3 linked regions of the Saccharomyces cerevisiae S288C genome follow. The protein of the gene in region 2 purifies or fractionates together with the protein of the main gene of each other region. This does not show direct contact. Each region holds a gene or a part of one and is shown on either strand. Other genes may lie near its edges.

What was found. Proteins that work in one complex are often made in the same cells at the same time.
Region 1: the proteins of VID27 (region 2) and CCT7 purify together in Saccharomyces cerevisiae (affinity purification with mass spectrometry; 2 studies listed by BioGRID). This does not show direct contact.
Region 3: the proteins of VID27 (region 2) and CCT8 purify together in Saccharomyces cerevisiae (affinity purification with mass spectrometry, with the first as the bait; 2 studies listed by BioGRID). This does not show direct contact.

The regions. Positions count from the first base shown.
Region 1 is NC_001142.9:206,147-210,505, reverse strand, and holds CCT7 (chaperonin-containing T-complex subunit CCT7), read right to left. Parts: upstream 2,630-4,359; coding exon 977-2,629; downstream 1-976. Other genes in the region: GZF3 (Gzf3p), read left to right, coding at 1-584; MDV1 (Mdv1p), read right to left, coding at 3,057-4,359. UniProt on the Saccharomyces cerevisiae protein: Molecular chaperone; assists the folding of proteins upon ATP hydrolysis. Known to play a role, in vitro, in the folding of actin and tubulin. In yeast may play a role in mitotic spindle formation.
Region 2 is NC_001146.8:245,482-251,238, forward strand, and holds VID27 (Vid27p), read left to right. Parts: upstream 1-1,979; coding exon 1,980-4,328; downstream 4,329-5,757. Other genes in the region: PEX17 (Pex17p), read left to right, coding at 136-735; mitochondrial ribosome assembly protein RRG9, read right to left, coding at 979-1,623; MRX7 (Mrx7p), read right to left, coding at 4,574-4,834; MER1 (Mer1p), read left to right, coding at 5,450-5,757. UniProt on the Saccharomyces cerevisiae protein: Has a role in the negative regulation of gluconeogenesis. Required for vacuolar catabolite degradation of fructose-1,6-bisphosphatase (FBPase).
Region 3 is NC_001142.9:418,981-423,661, reverse strand, and holds CCT8 (chaperonin-containing T-complex subunit CCT8), read left to right. Parts: upstream 1-1,998; coding exon 1,999-3,705; downstream 3,706-4,681. Other genes in the region: CTK2 (Ctk2p), read left to right, coding at 1-524; YJL007C (uncharacterized protein), read left to right, coding at 650-964; RNA-binding RNA processing protein NOP9, read left to right, coding at 4,100-4,681. UniProt on the Saccharomyces cerevisiae protein: Molecular chaperone; assists the folding of proteins upon ATP hydrolysis. Known to play a role, in vitro, in the folding of actin and tubulin. In yeast may play a role in mitotic spindle formation.

The DNA of each region.
Region 1 (4,359 bases), on a different chromosome or scaffold from region 2:
CAAATAACGGAAGTGAAATAGTGTCCAATTGCAATAATGGTATTGCCTCTACCGCCGCAACTCTGGCACCCACTTCTTCACGGACGACTGACTCTAATCCATCCGAGGTACCGAATCAAATTAGATCGACGATGTCTTCCCCAGATATAATATCTGCTAAGCGTAACGACCCAGCCCCTTTATCTTTCCACATGGCTTCTATTAACGACATGCTTGAGACGAGAGATCGTGCGATTAGCAACGTGAAAACCGAGACGACACCGCCTCATTTCATACCGTTTCTACAATCTTCTAAAGCTCCCTGTATATCCAAAGCAAATTCACAATCCATCTCAAATAGTGTTTCTAGTTCTGATGTTTCTGGACGAAAATTTGAAAATCACCCAGCTAAAGATTTAGGTGATCAGTTATCCACTAAATTGCACAAAGAAGAAGAAATTATAAAGCTCAAAACTAGAATAAATGAGTTAGAACTTGTTACAGATTTATATAGGAGACATATCAATGAATTAGACGGGAAATGTCGAGCTCTTGAGGAACGTTTGCAAAGGACAGTAAAACAAGAAGGGAATAAAGGAGGATAGATCTTTTTTTCAAAAAAATCAGCATCATTTTTCAAATATAATATCATCATATGTATGCATATATAAATACATAGTAGCATAATCAGTTGCAAAACAGGGTTCTAATCGAATATTACGTACATTTTGCCGAAGAAATGGAATGCAGCTGCATGACATCCAACCCGGATGACGACCAATGATATGATTTGTTTCTCGGAGTTTTCATTACTTCTTTCATTTTTCTTTAGACCTAGAATTACTTTAAGATACAGAGTATACAAAAGAAAAGAATAAGGTTTTATCAATACAGTATTAACTTATTTATGATTGAAAGAAATTACCTTTGATGCAAATAACTACTGCAAAAAGAGTAATAATAAAATGTATGCAGCACATGTTTTTTAGAGTGTTAATTACATTGGCATACCTCTCCCTCTTCCAGCCCCTTGGGGAGGCATCATGCCAGCATTGGCACTTTCACTACCTTTATTAGTGATCGTCTCGTCAACAGATAAAATCAAGTTAGTAGCCTCTGTGGCACTGTTCAAAGCATTGATTTTTACTAAAGCAGGTTCCCATACGAATTTGGCAAAATTATCGCCAATATTTTCTGTTTCAAAGACAACACCATACCATTTCTCACCTTTGCTGTGAGCCAATCTTAGTTTGTTTAATATTTCTATAGCATCAAACCCAGCATTTTCACAGAGTTGCCTTGGAATAACTTCTAAAGCCTTAGCGAAGGCATTGATTATCATTTGTTGCTTACCAGCTATGGTTTTTGAATAATCTCTCAAGCATTTTGATACTTCCATTTCTGTAGCACCACCACCAGCAACGATCAGTTTATTTTGTAACGCTCTCTTAACTATCATGATTGCATCGTGCAATGATCTCTCAACCTCGGCAATAACTTGCTCAGCACCTCCTCTTAATAATAATGTACATGTTTTAGCTTGTGGGCAACCTTGGAATAAATTGTAGCGTTCTGACCCGATTTGCATTTCCTCAAACAAAGCACAAGTACCCAAATGCTCTGGTTTTATATCTGAAGTAGTAGATTGTATAGAGCCTCCAACAGCTTGGATGACACGATTCATATCATCTGCGCTCACTCTACCAGCGCAGAAAATATTTCTATCAGCAAAAAATTGAGTAGCCAAATCGCCGATAGGTAACTTTGATAGTACAATATTGGCACCTGTTTCTTCCACTTGTCTTAGCTTTTCAAAGATTAATTGCCACTCCGCATCTACAATAGCTTGGTAATCTTCAACATGTTCTACACGTACTTCAGCATTGTCTTTCTCTGCTTTCAACTCCAGTTCTACATTCAAACTTAAAATTTTAGGATTGTTGAACTTTTTGGGTTGCTGTTCAAATCCAGCATACGAAAATGTCTTCTTAAAGGCGACACCGTTGATGAAAAGAGATTCTTCCATAGCACCACCTGGAATTTTTTTAATACCTATTAATTTGTCATCCAAATCGTTTCTATCAAGGGATAGCACGGCGTCAACACACATTTTAACAAAAAAATCTGCATTATTATGAATCAATTTCGACGACATTGCAGTTCTAGCACAGCGTTCAAGTAATTCTCTGCCACTGCTTTTCTCTGAAGTAATATCCACAGCTAATTCGTTAATCTTCTCCACAGCTAAAGAAACGGCCTTTCTGTAGCCCTTCATAATCAAATGAGATGAAATGCCTTCTTCCAAAAAGGGCTTGGCTTCTTTCATTAACTCACCAGCTAAAATGGTTACACTAGTTGTACCATCACCCACCTCGGCATCCTGAGCTCTAGAAATATCCACTAAAGTTTTGGCAGCAGGATGTACTACATCTAATAATTTTAGGATCGTGGCACCATCGTTAGAAATAGTAGTCTTTTGATTCGATGTCACAATTAAAATATCAGAACCTAAGGGACCTAAAGTTGGTTTCAATGCCTCTTGGACTGCAACACAGGCATTGATATTAGAGATGATTTGACCTTTACCTTGAGATGCGTCTGTTCCCTCTTTTAGAACCACAATTGTAGGTGTTTGGCTTCCAAAGTTCATTTTTCCGAGTTGTATGTCTCGTGATTCAGGTACTACTTAATATTTGCGGCTAATTCTCTGTATTTGAAATCATTTCGACAATTTGGCATCTGCTAACGCTTAATAACAATTATTCATTTTTTTTTTTTTCAATAGCAAGGATGAAAAAGTCGCCACTTAAATATTAATCATTATTCACGAAAGTTTTCTTTTTCCGGGTAAGGATAATGCAGGTATGGTGATTGCTTCCAAGACATCTGTAGTAATATGACAGGGCAACATCTACAGCACCGATTTCGCTGATAAACCATCCAAGGTATTGACGATACTTTATTTACATTCCAGAACGAATATTTATTTATATATATCTGAGCGAGCAGCTATTCACATATGCACTCGATATTTATTTTTCTTCAAATGGGTTGACTTGATTGCAATGCAATGCCTATCATACGGCCCAAATATTTACGTCCCCATTTTCACGACCCTCAACCATGTAATTTTCTTTATACTTAACGGTACTAACGCTAGTCTCGTTACCTTGTTCGACGCAAGACCAGCTTTCATCCTTTTCGCTATCGTATATCTGGACACTTGGTTCGTCTGCGACAACGACTGCAGCGTTCTCTTGGAAGAGATCTAACGAAAGAACTGGCGCACTGTACGCATGAAACTTATTCAACAACCCAGTTCTTAAGTCCCAGATTCTAACTGTTCTGTCGTATGAACCTGTGACCAGGCACGCGGAATCAAATTTTAATGACGTTATGGCATCTGTATGCCCTTTCAAAGTACGAATCACCTTTCCGGATCTTAAATCCCATAGCCTTACAACACCATCTTTTGTACCCGTTGCTAGCGCTGCATCAAAACTTTGTAGTGCACCTATACTAGGCCTCTCATTTCTTTGAGTAAGAAGTGTGCTCTTTGATAAATCGACATTAGTGGATGTTGTTAAGACATTTGCAAAGCTCAGATCAATGGTTTGCAAGCACTTCCCGGAACGTAAGTCCCATTGCCTAATTGTTCTATCCTGTGAACCACTCACCAAGAAACTAGGATCTAATGATAATGCAGTAACCTCATCTGTATGCGCCTCAAATGTATGAACACATGGAGAATCAATATGATTTGTAGGAGAGGTAAGATTTTGCGTTTCCTGGTAAAGTTGTTGAGCTAAATTCAAATTCCATAATTTTAAAGCCGCATCTCTACCACCAGTAACAAGAGTTCCGTAGTCACGATTGATTTGCATACAATTAATTGTAGCAAGATGTCCTGCTAGTTCTCCAATTTTGTTTTGTTTGGATAAATCCCAAATTTTTACCGTGTGATCAAGATATCCGGCTGTACATAAGGTACCAAAGGGCGCATCAAAATCTAGGCAAGTGAGGAAATCATCGTGAGTGGACATTATAGAGCCAATTTTTGTTCCTGGCTCGTAAAGCTGCTGGAATGTTGGGAAGCTTTTTCTGTGTCTTTTTTTGGATTTGCTATAAAAGGCACCTAATCTATTCAATGAGTTATCGTCTCGAAGTTGTTGCCTTCTCCTTGGAGGTAGATTAGAAGCCTCTGATGATATGCTCTCTGTGGTGACACCCTCATTTCTTATAGCATCATTTTTAAGGGCCTTTCGCTCACTCATACCATCATCTTCTGCATTTTCGTCGCTATTAGCTTCGATCACCTCCAATCCGTACTCTTCTAAAAAGTCCAACCTATCATCAATCTGTTTGAGGTTGTCTTCCAAT
Region 2 (5,757 bases):
TGGTATCGGTTGGGCTCGGTATTATTGTTACACCCGCGTTGTCAAGTAAATTTATAAGGGTCCAAGATAAAATGAAAGCATTGAAATATTTCCATCATTCTGATAAGCAGAACCACGTAAGGCAGACTAAAAATCATGACATCGATTAACAGTTTTCCCAGGAATATTGACTGGCCTTCCAACATAGGCATTAAAAAAATAGAGGGAACTAATCCAACGGTGAATGCCATCAAGGGCTTGTTATATAATGGTGGATCAATTTATGCATTTCTATATTTTGTTATTGCTATGTTTGTTGAACCAACGCTACAAAAGCAGTACCAGCAGAGAAATGATTTTTCCTTGTTTGTTTTGTTGCGTTTGAGAAGAATCATAGCGCAATTGCAAAAACGACTGGTGATGACCCCAGTATCGTCGTTGGGGTTCAACGAACAGAATAACTTTGTGGAGAGGTCCACTCAAACTTCAGACGACAATATAATACGAGAAGATAATAGCCATTGGGCTGAAATGATTTATCAACTGCAAAATATGAAACAAGAATTACAGTATTTTAACAGATCCTCAGGCCAACCATCTGAAAGTATAGACGATTTTGTCTTTCAAATTAAGATGGTGACTGACCAGGTTGAGTTAACAGATAGGTCCCGAGCTTTCTCAAATAAATCAAGAAATATTATACAGGGAATCCGAGAAATCAAAGGTTGGTTTGTGAATGGCCAAGTGCCAAGGTAACAATCAAAAATAATAGCATTGAATTTAAAACGCTCTAGTGCACGTAACGCATCCGTCTGATCAGTGGCGAACAATACCGTTATTTTTCATAGTACCTAAGAAGACACATACCAATTTTTGCAAGTGAAAGTGCAGAAACGGTTCCACTAACGATATTACTGCATGCTCTCTATTCTAATGTACATATATATGTTCCTTTATCTACAAGAAGTTTCGTAATAATATATAAATCCCTCAAAAGTGTTATTGTTTCGAGCCCAAATGCTTCAAAATGTATAGTTTGTTGGTGTTTTTCTTTTCAGGTGTACTGTTGTTAGGCTTGAAAGGTTTAAAAGTGCGAACATTCCTTGCTATTAATTCAGGTGAATTTGAGTTGGACCCAAGTATAATCTTTCTGCTAGTAACAATTTGATTGGATACAAAATCGGCATCCTCTTTTCTTTGATACATTTCTTTTATCCGTTCTCCTCTTCTTTTCCATCTCTCGTAGGTGTTATTGTTTTCCTCATCAGTACGCTTCCAGTTGGACTTCAAAATTCTTCGAACAGCCTCGGGAGAAATTTTGAACCGGTCTGCAAGATCAGATGCTGTCAGTTCAGGAAAGTTGAATTTCAATAGTCTTAGAGCCTCCATTTGTTCCTGTGATATCTTTTTTGGTGGGTTCCACCTCTGGCCTTGCAATTTTTTTCTAACTGCCATTTTCTGCTTCTTCCACTCAGGAATGTCTTTCGTACCATCTCGTACTTTTTCTGTAAACTCTTTATTGGACAAACTCGATTTATTGACTAATTTAATAATCTTTTTGGATGACCATCCCCTGTTCTCATTGAGTAATGGACCGCAGCGCAGGCAATGAAAAGAACGACATGCTATTCGCAGAATGTTCATGCCAAGTGCTAACCAAATGATTCAGAAGGAAGTCGAAGGGAATACGTAGTGCCTTGTTAAATAGCTTACCGTGATATGAACAGTATACGATCGACTCTCCTTGGAGACTTTCTACACCATTGGTGATTGGTGTTTTAGTTCTACCATCATTTCATATTTACTAGCTTTATGATCATTTTAGACGACTGTGGGAATGTTGTTATTTTTACTAATCACTTTTACTTAGTAATGTCCCTTAAGGACAGCACTGAAAGCAAAGTAGTCAAGCACTTCATTCGAACTTGATTAGTAGAAACAAACTTCATTCTTTCTTTACGTATCCAGTCCAATAATATCTGCAGTAGTTATAGTGACTGATGAACATTTTGAAGAAGTTTATGGAGTCTGGTAACAAGCCAGAGCTCATCACGATACCTTCTGGGCAGTTTAATCTTTTGAGGTCTAAGAATTCCCCTAAAGCTGCTTTAGAATGTATTTACAACAATGCAACTTTAAGCGTACGTAAAATAGGCAAATTTGATTATGAGTTGGCGGTTTATAGGGTAGAGGACGATAGTGAAGGAGGCACGGGAGATGAGGCTGAGAATTTTGAAGACGACACCATCAGTGTTTTATCCACACAGTCTAAAAAGAAAGAAGAGGAGTGGAGCGTTGAAATATCGGATAAAATCATGTTTCACAAAACATGGGATAAACAAGGAAACGTGGCGCTTGTGTGGGAGAACTTAAGAGGTGATGAACAAGATGAAAAGGTTCAATTTGTTGTTGCCGCTGATGTGTCGTTTTCTGATGTTGAACAGTTTATCCAAACTGTTTACCGATGCCAATTCGAAGTAAGGAATAAAAAATCCTCTCTCACTGCCTCAGCAGATGACTTAAAGGAAATAGAGCATAGATCAACCAGGCTCTTTGTTCAAGATGATGATGACGAGTTAGATTCAAGCTCAGATGACTTTCAAGATGCTAAAGACACCTCTTTTGAGCACGAGAAGGAAAGTGAAATATTGGAAAGAACTCCTTCTCCATTGAAAAAAGTTCCAGAAGGGGAATATTGTTGTTTAGTGATGTCTAGCCTATACATGTATGATCCAATTCAAGAAAAATTTATTCTGCAGGAGCCCGTGGTAAAGGTAGCAATTATTGATACAGGCAAGTACGAATTTTGGCTAGCGATAGAAGGTAAAGATAATCGTCTTGGGACTCAGGTCGCCCCAAATATCAATCCTACCTTTGAATTAGCTACCGATGCCTTTCTTTTCAACTATACGCTACAAAACATTACATTGTCTTATATGTTAAAATTTAAGGACTTAGATAAGTGTATTCAATTCAGGTTTGCTTGGGTTAAATGTTTATGGATGACTTTGAACAAAGAAACGTGGACCGACGTTCCTGAAAAGGAGAAAGATTATATTTTAGATTCATCATCCGTGCCATTGGAAAAGCAATTTGATGACATTTTACACATAGATGACAGATCAAATGAGGAAAGAGATAAAGAATCAAGCGAAAGTGAAAATGATAGCGAAGATGAGGATGACGAAAACGATCACTCCAAAAGAATCATTTCATCTGAAGCCTTTGAAGAACCTAGGCGTGCGACTTCCAAAGGTAATAGTTCATTGACTGTCGCCTTTAGGAACAACAGGTCATATGTTACAAGAGATAACAGAATTGGTGTGTTCAAAACGGATGATGAAGACGATTCTCTAGAATTTGTAGCTGCCATAAAGAATATTTCTAATTTAGGTGGTAAAAGCATTGATCCTCATAAGCCAATGTTGTATATGGAAGATCGTAATTTAATTTTGACTGATGGCGAAAATGAGAACAAACTTTATAAGATGGATATAGAAAGAGGAAAGGTGATTGAAGAATGGTCTACTGGTGACAAGAATGTTGTTCAATATGGTCCAACCAAAAAATTCGATCAAATGACGCCTGAACAAACAATTGTTGGCGTTTCACAGAAAGGTGTCTTTAAAATTGATCCTAGAATTAACGGAAAAAATAAAATAGCCGTCGATGAATCAAAAGATTACGTGGGTAAATATAACTTTAGCTCTATTGGAACAACAGAGAGTGGTTATATTGCTATTGGGTCAGAAAAAGGTGACATAAAACTATATGATAGGCTCGGTATTAGGGCAAAAACTGCTATACCTTCACTAGGCCAAGCAATCAAGTTTATTACTACCTCTGCTGACGGTAAATGGTTATTGGCGACTTGCGAGAGTACTCTGCTTCTTATGGATTTGAAAATTAAGGATGGAAAAAATGCTGGCAACATTGGATTTCTGAAGTCGTTCCCAGCCAGTGAAAATGTTAAAACATATGTATTAAAAATACGACCAGAACATTCGGCATCAATCTTAACGTACACAAAAAAACCAATCCGATTTACGAAGGCTTATTTTAATACCGGTATAGGCCAGCAAGAACAAACTATTGTTACATCGACGGGTCCTTATGCGATTTCTTGGTCATTAAAGGGCATTTTAAATCAAGATGGTAGTAATAATTATCCTTACAGAATCCGTAGGTACAATGCTGATGTTGTTGCTGATAATTTTGAATTTGGTTCAGACAAAAAGGTTATCGTTGCCTTGAAAGACGATGTCTCTCTATCGAAAGTGAAATCCTTTAAACAGCCAAGCAAAGGAGTCTTGATGCCAAGTGCTTCCCTCCAAGATTTTTATGGCTAATTCTTATTTTCAAGGTTTTAAAGTTGTATTCCGAGTGTATTATATAGTTGTTTCCCTTCCGGAAGTTGTGTAATATATAGTTTTGAATATATATAATGGTGTTAAATAGAAATGCCAAATAGTACGTAGTAATATTATTTAAATTGCATGCGTTTTTTTCGTTTTAAAAAGAGATTTTAGTGTGAAATGCAGTCAAAAGGTACTTTTGTCTGTTTTATAGTACTTGTACATCAGACAAGGATGAATTAATCTTTTTTAAAGCGGTCTCCTAGTCTCCTTCTGAACCCAAAAGTAGATCTCATTTCATCCCAAAATAAAAGCCTTAAAGCCTTAAATTTCTGTCGTGGAGTTGGCTTATAAAGATATTGAAAAGCAGTTGATTGGTCAGTGAAAGGATCTTCTTTAATACCATTTACTTTCCTATATACCTTGCGTACAAATCTATGGAAACCTGGACTACTCAGTAACTTGTAGTAAAACCATTCTTCTATACTTCTTGGAGGCATGCTTAAACTGATGTGATAAACATATTCTTGTTGGTAACAGAGTGTTCGTTCAATCTTTTTAAGATATTTTGTTTCCTAATTTCTTCACATTTTTGAATTACTGTTTTTCTTAATTTCATAACGGGTTCTTTTCAAAAAACCGTAAAAATTTGAGGTCACACCAACTAAATACAAATTGTTTCATCACGGTGACTATATCAAGAACTTCGTAAGGAAACATTTAGAAAACTCAATATAGTAAAGTTTCATCAGCAATCTTATCTGAGTAATATTATCTACGATCTAAATATAGGATGATCTGCCGATTTAGGAATCGTACTGTAGATTGCTCTTGGCGACAGATATAGTGAAATACCTTTTACAAAGTGGATACAGGTTGCCTATCACTACCGCCATTTCACTAGCAAGTAGAGTATTGAGAAAACGGTAAACTTTGAAAGTTGCAGATGCAGAATATATATCTGGTTTTGTAGTTCTATCCGCTAAACGGGACGATCGCATTTTAGCCGCCGACAGTGTTAATATAAGTAATGAACTTGGGTTAATTTGATTACGCGTCACAGCTACTAATAAAATAAGACCGAGAGTTTTAATCAGCTAGTGCATACCAAAACAATGAGTAACCAACACAGCCCTCAGCCATTTTGTTTGGACACCAAATTGGTGAAACTATTAGAAGAGCTCCAGGAGGGAAAGCAATTCAACAATAAAAACATATTCCCGGAAAAAGCATTATATTTGAAGCTCGCTCTTGATTATTCTTTCTTCAGAAAGAATTTACTAGAGTTTTGCGTCCACCTTGACAAGATAAAAGGAGTCATTAGACCAAACTATGACACTATATATATTTTGTGCCTGTTGGAGGTGGATCTCCTCAATCTGGTATTTACCGACAATATATTGGAAATATGTTTGCCCAGGTT
Region 3 (4,681 bases), on a different chromosome or scaffold from region 2:
ACGTTCATATTGATGAATATGTTATAAAAATTGGTAGGGAGCTATCCTTTGATTATAAGTTGTGCAATCTGGCTTGGGTAATTGCTTATGATGCTTTGAAGCTAGAAACTATTTTAGTCATACCCCAACATTCCATTGCATTGGCCATTTTGAAAATAGCATATGAATTACTAGATAATAAGAATTGGTCAAGTAAAAGGTATTCTTTATTTGAAACAGACGAGAAATCCGTAAATGAAGCTTATTTTGATATAGTCAATTTTTACATCAATTCATTCGATATGTGCGATCTACAACGTCATTTACCGGCTGATTTGCTGCCGATTGGCGTTGAAAGGTTTATGGAACTGAAAAAAAACGCAGGACCAGAATCTGGATTGCCGCAAATACCAGATCACCTGTTGAATGCCGATCCTTATATCACTATTACTAGAGATAATAATGTCCAAGAAAGAAGATATGTACTTTCACTGGAGCTAATTAATGGCGAGTCCAGCATAAATAGTTCTACAAGACATGCATAGAAAGTCCTACTATAAACTTAAATAAGATCATCATTATAAACTTTCTTTTACACAAGTAATAAGTACCTTTTTTTATCTCAAAACATGAATGTTGAGCTTCGAGGTTTAATTCACAAAAAAAGAAAATGTGCTCCAGGGGAGGTTCGAACTCTCGACCTTCAGATTATGAGACTGACGCTCTTCCTACTGAGCTACTGAAGCATACAAAGGATGTTGGGGAAGAAAAACAAACTTTACATCAAATATTTGCGGATTCCATGGTTATTAAAGGATATAGCACCGGGTATACAGGACATACTAGAAGTTCTCCAGGGGATCTTGTAATCCACAAAAGAGAATTGATATTTTCACATAATATTGTCATTATTGTTTCCCCAATTTATATGATATCATTCATTATTCTGTTACACTATCAGTCCTGGCATTTCAGCATCTATTAAATCTGATGACTGTTTTCTCAATCTTCATGCCATCTTGGTACATCGTACATGATAATATATTAGTAATATGAATACTATTCGATAGATTATAGTTGATCCTCATTAGGACATCTATCGTAACAATGGGAATGTTCATATCATACATTAATTTATACGAGTTGTTCAGACAGTAGTATAAGGCAAAGATCTTTTACTTGAAAGGTTAACTTAAAAATTTTGGATATAGAAGTCATTATACTAGGCGCGTAGTATTTTACTGATGTGTTTCCAAGCTAGGGCATACTGAATATGTTCTCTGGGCGCGTGTTTATATGCTTTTCTTATATACAATAAGAAAAGTTTACTTCTATTCTCGGTAAAAACATTCTTACGGCTTGACCACTATTGATGGATATGGTTTATTGCTCATAGGTAGAGGTCAAAAAGCTTTATTAATGAAGATTGAATATCGATCTTCTTAGACTTATATAAGGGGGATATAAAACACACGCCGATTGGTTCATTCCTAATTGTGACCAATGTAATAGTGGTTCCGGCAGTTCTCATACATTTAATGTGAAGACCTGTATTGCTCATATATATGACTATCAGATCATATTCAAATAATGGATTTTTAATTCTGCTTCGGTACTGTCTGAACTGCTTCTTGAACATTTCCTTCTGTAATAGGTACATTGACAGACATATGCGTGGTGTATACTAGCATAAAATGTAAGCATCGAAATTGTTACCAATTGAATTCATGTTGATATCTAATGATCACTTGTCCGAACATTTTGTATTATTAATCAATAAAGAAGCTGCCGGATTTAGATAATTAAAGAGTTGCGAGCACATTTACTATTTCAATAGCTTATTTTATATAAGCCAAGTTAATGGTGTTTTTGTCATTATTAACGGTATTCGAAAATGTTCATCACCTCCGCTAGTGGCAAAAAAAAGTGAAGAAAATAGTATAGCATGATGATGTTCTCACTTTACAGATACCGACAAGACAACTTGAACCTCAAGGGCAATAAAATCATCAATTAACCATGTCACTTAGATTGCCACAAAATCCCAACGCGGGATTGTTTAAACAAGGCTACAATAGTTACTCTAACGCCGATGGCCAAATTATTAAATCAATTGCGGCCATTCGCGAATTACATCAAATGTGTTTGACTTCTATGGGACCCTGTGGTAGAAACAAGATCATTGTTAACCATCTCGGTAAAATCATTATTACCAACGACGCGGCCACCATGCTAAGAGAACTAGATATTGTCCATCCTGCAGTGAAAGTCCTCGTAATGGCGACTGAACAACAGAAGATCGACATGGGAGACGGTACAAATTTAGTCATGATTTTGGCTGGCGAACTATTAAATGTGTCCGAAAAACTGATTTCAATGGGCTTGTCTGCCGTTGAGATTATTCAAGGTTATAATATGGCAAGGAAGTTTACTTTGAAAGAACTAGACGAAATGGTTGTTGGTGAAATTACTGACAAGAATGATAAAAACGAACTTTTGAAAATGATTAAACCAGTCATCTCCTCCAAAAAGTACGGATCTGAAGACATATTGAGTGAACTTGTTTCTGAAGCTGTATCTCACGTTTTACCAGTTGCTCAGCAAGCTGGAGAAATTCCTTATTTTAATGTTGATTCTATCAGAGTAGTAAAGATTATGGGTGGATCGCTTTCCAATTCTACCGTCATCAAAGGTATGGTTTTCAATCGTGAGCCTGAAGGCCATGTAAAATCATTATCCGAAGATAAAAAGCATAAAGTTGCAGTTTTCACTTGTCCGCTTGACATAGCCAATACTGAAACGAAAGGCACTGTTTTATTACATAATGCACAAGAAATGCTCGATTTTTCTAAGGGCGAGGAAAAGCAAATAGATGCCATGATGAAAGAGATTGCCGACATGGGCGTAGAATGCATTGTTGCAGGTGCTGGTGTTGGTGAATTGGCGTTACATTATTTGAATAGATACGGTATACTAGTCTTGAAGGTACCAAGCAAATTCGAATTAAGAAGATTATGTCGCGTTTGTGGGGCCACTCCATTGCCTAGATTAGGTGCGCCAACTCCAGAAGAATTAGGTTTAGTGGAAACTGTTAAGACAATGGAGATAGGTGGTGATAGAGTAACTGTGTTCAAACAAGAGCAAGGTGAAATTTCAAGAACATCTACTATCATTTTAAGAGGTGCCACACAGAATAATTTGGATGATATTGAAAGAGCCATTGATGATGGTGTTGCAGCCGTCAAGGGACTAATGAAGCCATCAGGCGGTAAGTTGTTGCCTGGTGCTGGTGCTACCGAAATTGAATTGATTTCTAGGATAACTAAGTATGGTGAACGAACACCTGGATTGCTACAGTTAGCTATAAAACAGTTTGCCGTGGCTTTTGAAGTGGTTCCTCGTACCCTAGCGGAGACCGCTGGTCTTGATGTTAATGAGGTACTACCAAACTTATACGCTGCACATAACGTAACTGAACCTGGTGCAGTTAAGACAGATCATTTATATAAAGGTGTGGATATTGATGGCGAATCTGATGAAGGTGTAAAGGACATCAGAGAGGAAAATATTTATGACATGCTTGCAACGAAAAAGTTTGCTATTAACGTCGCTACAGAAGCTGCAACTACTGTGCTTTCCATTGACCAAATTATCATGGCAAAGAAGGCGGGTGGTCCAAGAGCACCTCAAGGCCCAAGGCCAGGTAACTGGGACCAAGAAGACTGATTTGTTTGCATCTTTATACTTACAAAGTAGATATACCTGCAAACAGCAGAATATAATGTCATAAATTGCAATCAAGTTTTCAAACTTGCTAGGCTGTATCATGTGTACCTGTATAGTAGTAAAGATATATATAATGTTTGAATTTTTGATAATGCAGATGTACTGTATACATTAACCAAGAAGCAACCTGCAAAACCGACGAACTCTTGGCCTGTATATTTGTTCGATGATTGTAATACTTTTTTTTTTTTCAATTTTTTTTCGGTTAGCGAGAATTTTCATGCTCATCTACAATATAATGAAGAAAATTATATTAGATGAGCTGCGATCTGTTACAACTAGTATACTGTGAACGACGCTGAAACCTTCACGGAAAAACCACATTATTGTTATTATGGGAAAGACTAAAACAAGAGGCAGAAGACACCAAGACAAACAGAGAAAGGACGAATTTGAACCCAGTTCAAATTCTGCGAAGGAGCACATCCAGCAAGAAGAGTCTACTTACAATGACGAAGCCGAAATTAAAGAGACTCAGCCACAAATGTTTTTTGGTGTGCTAGATAGAGAAGAACTGGAGTATTTCAAGCAAGCCGAATCGACTTTGCAATTAGACGCCTTCGAAGCACCTGAGGAAAAGTTTCAATTCGTCACGAGCATTATTGAGGAAGCAAAAGGTAAAGAACTGAAATTGGTTACTTCCCAAATAACTTCGAAATTGATGGAACGAGTTATTCTTGAATGTGATGAGACTCAGTTAAAAGACATTTTCCAATCTTTCAATGGCGTTTTCTTCGGGTTGTCATGTCATAAATATGCTTCCCATGTTTTAGAGACTTTATTTGTTAGAAGTGCCGCCTTGGTAGAAAGAGAACTTTTAACACCAAGTTTTGATAACAATGAAAAAGAAGGGCCTTATGTGACTATGGAAAATATGTTTCTCTTTATGTTGAATGAACTGAAACCGCACTTGAAA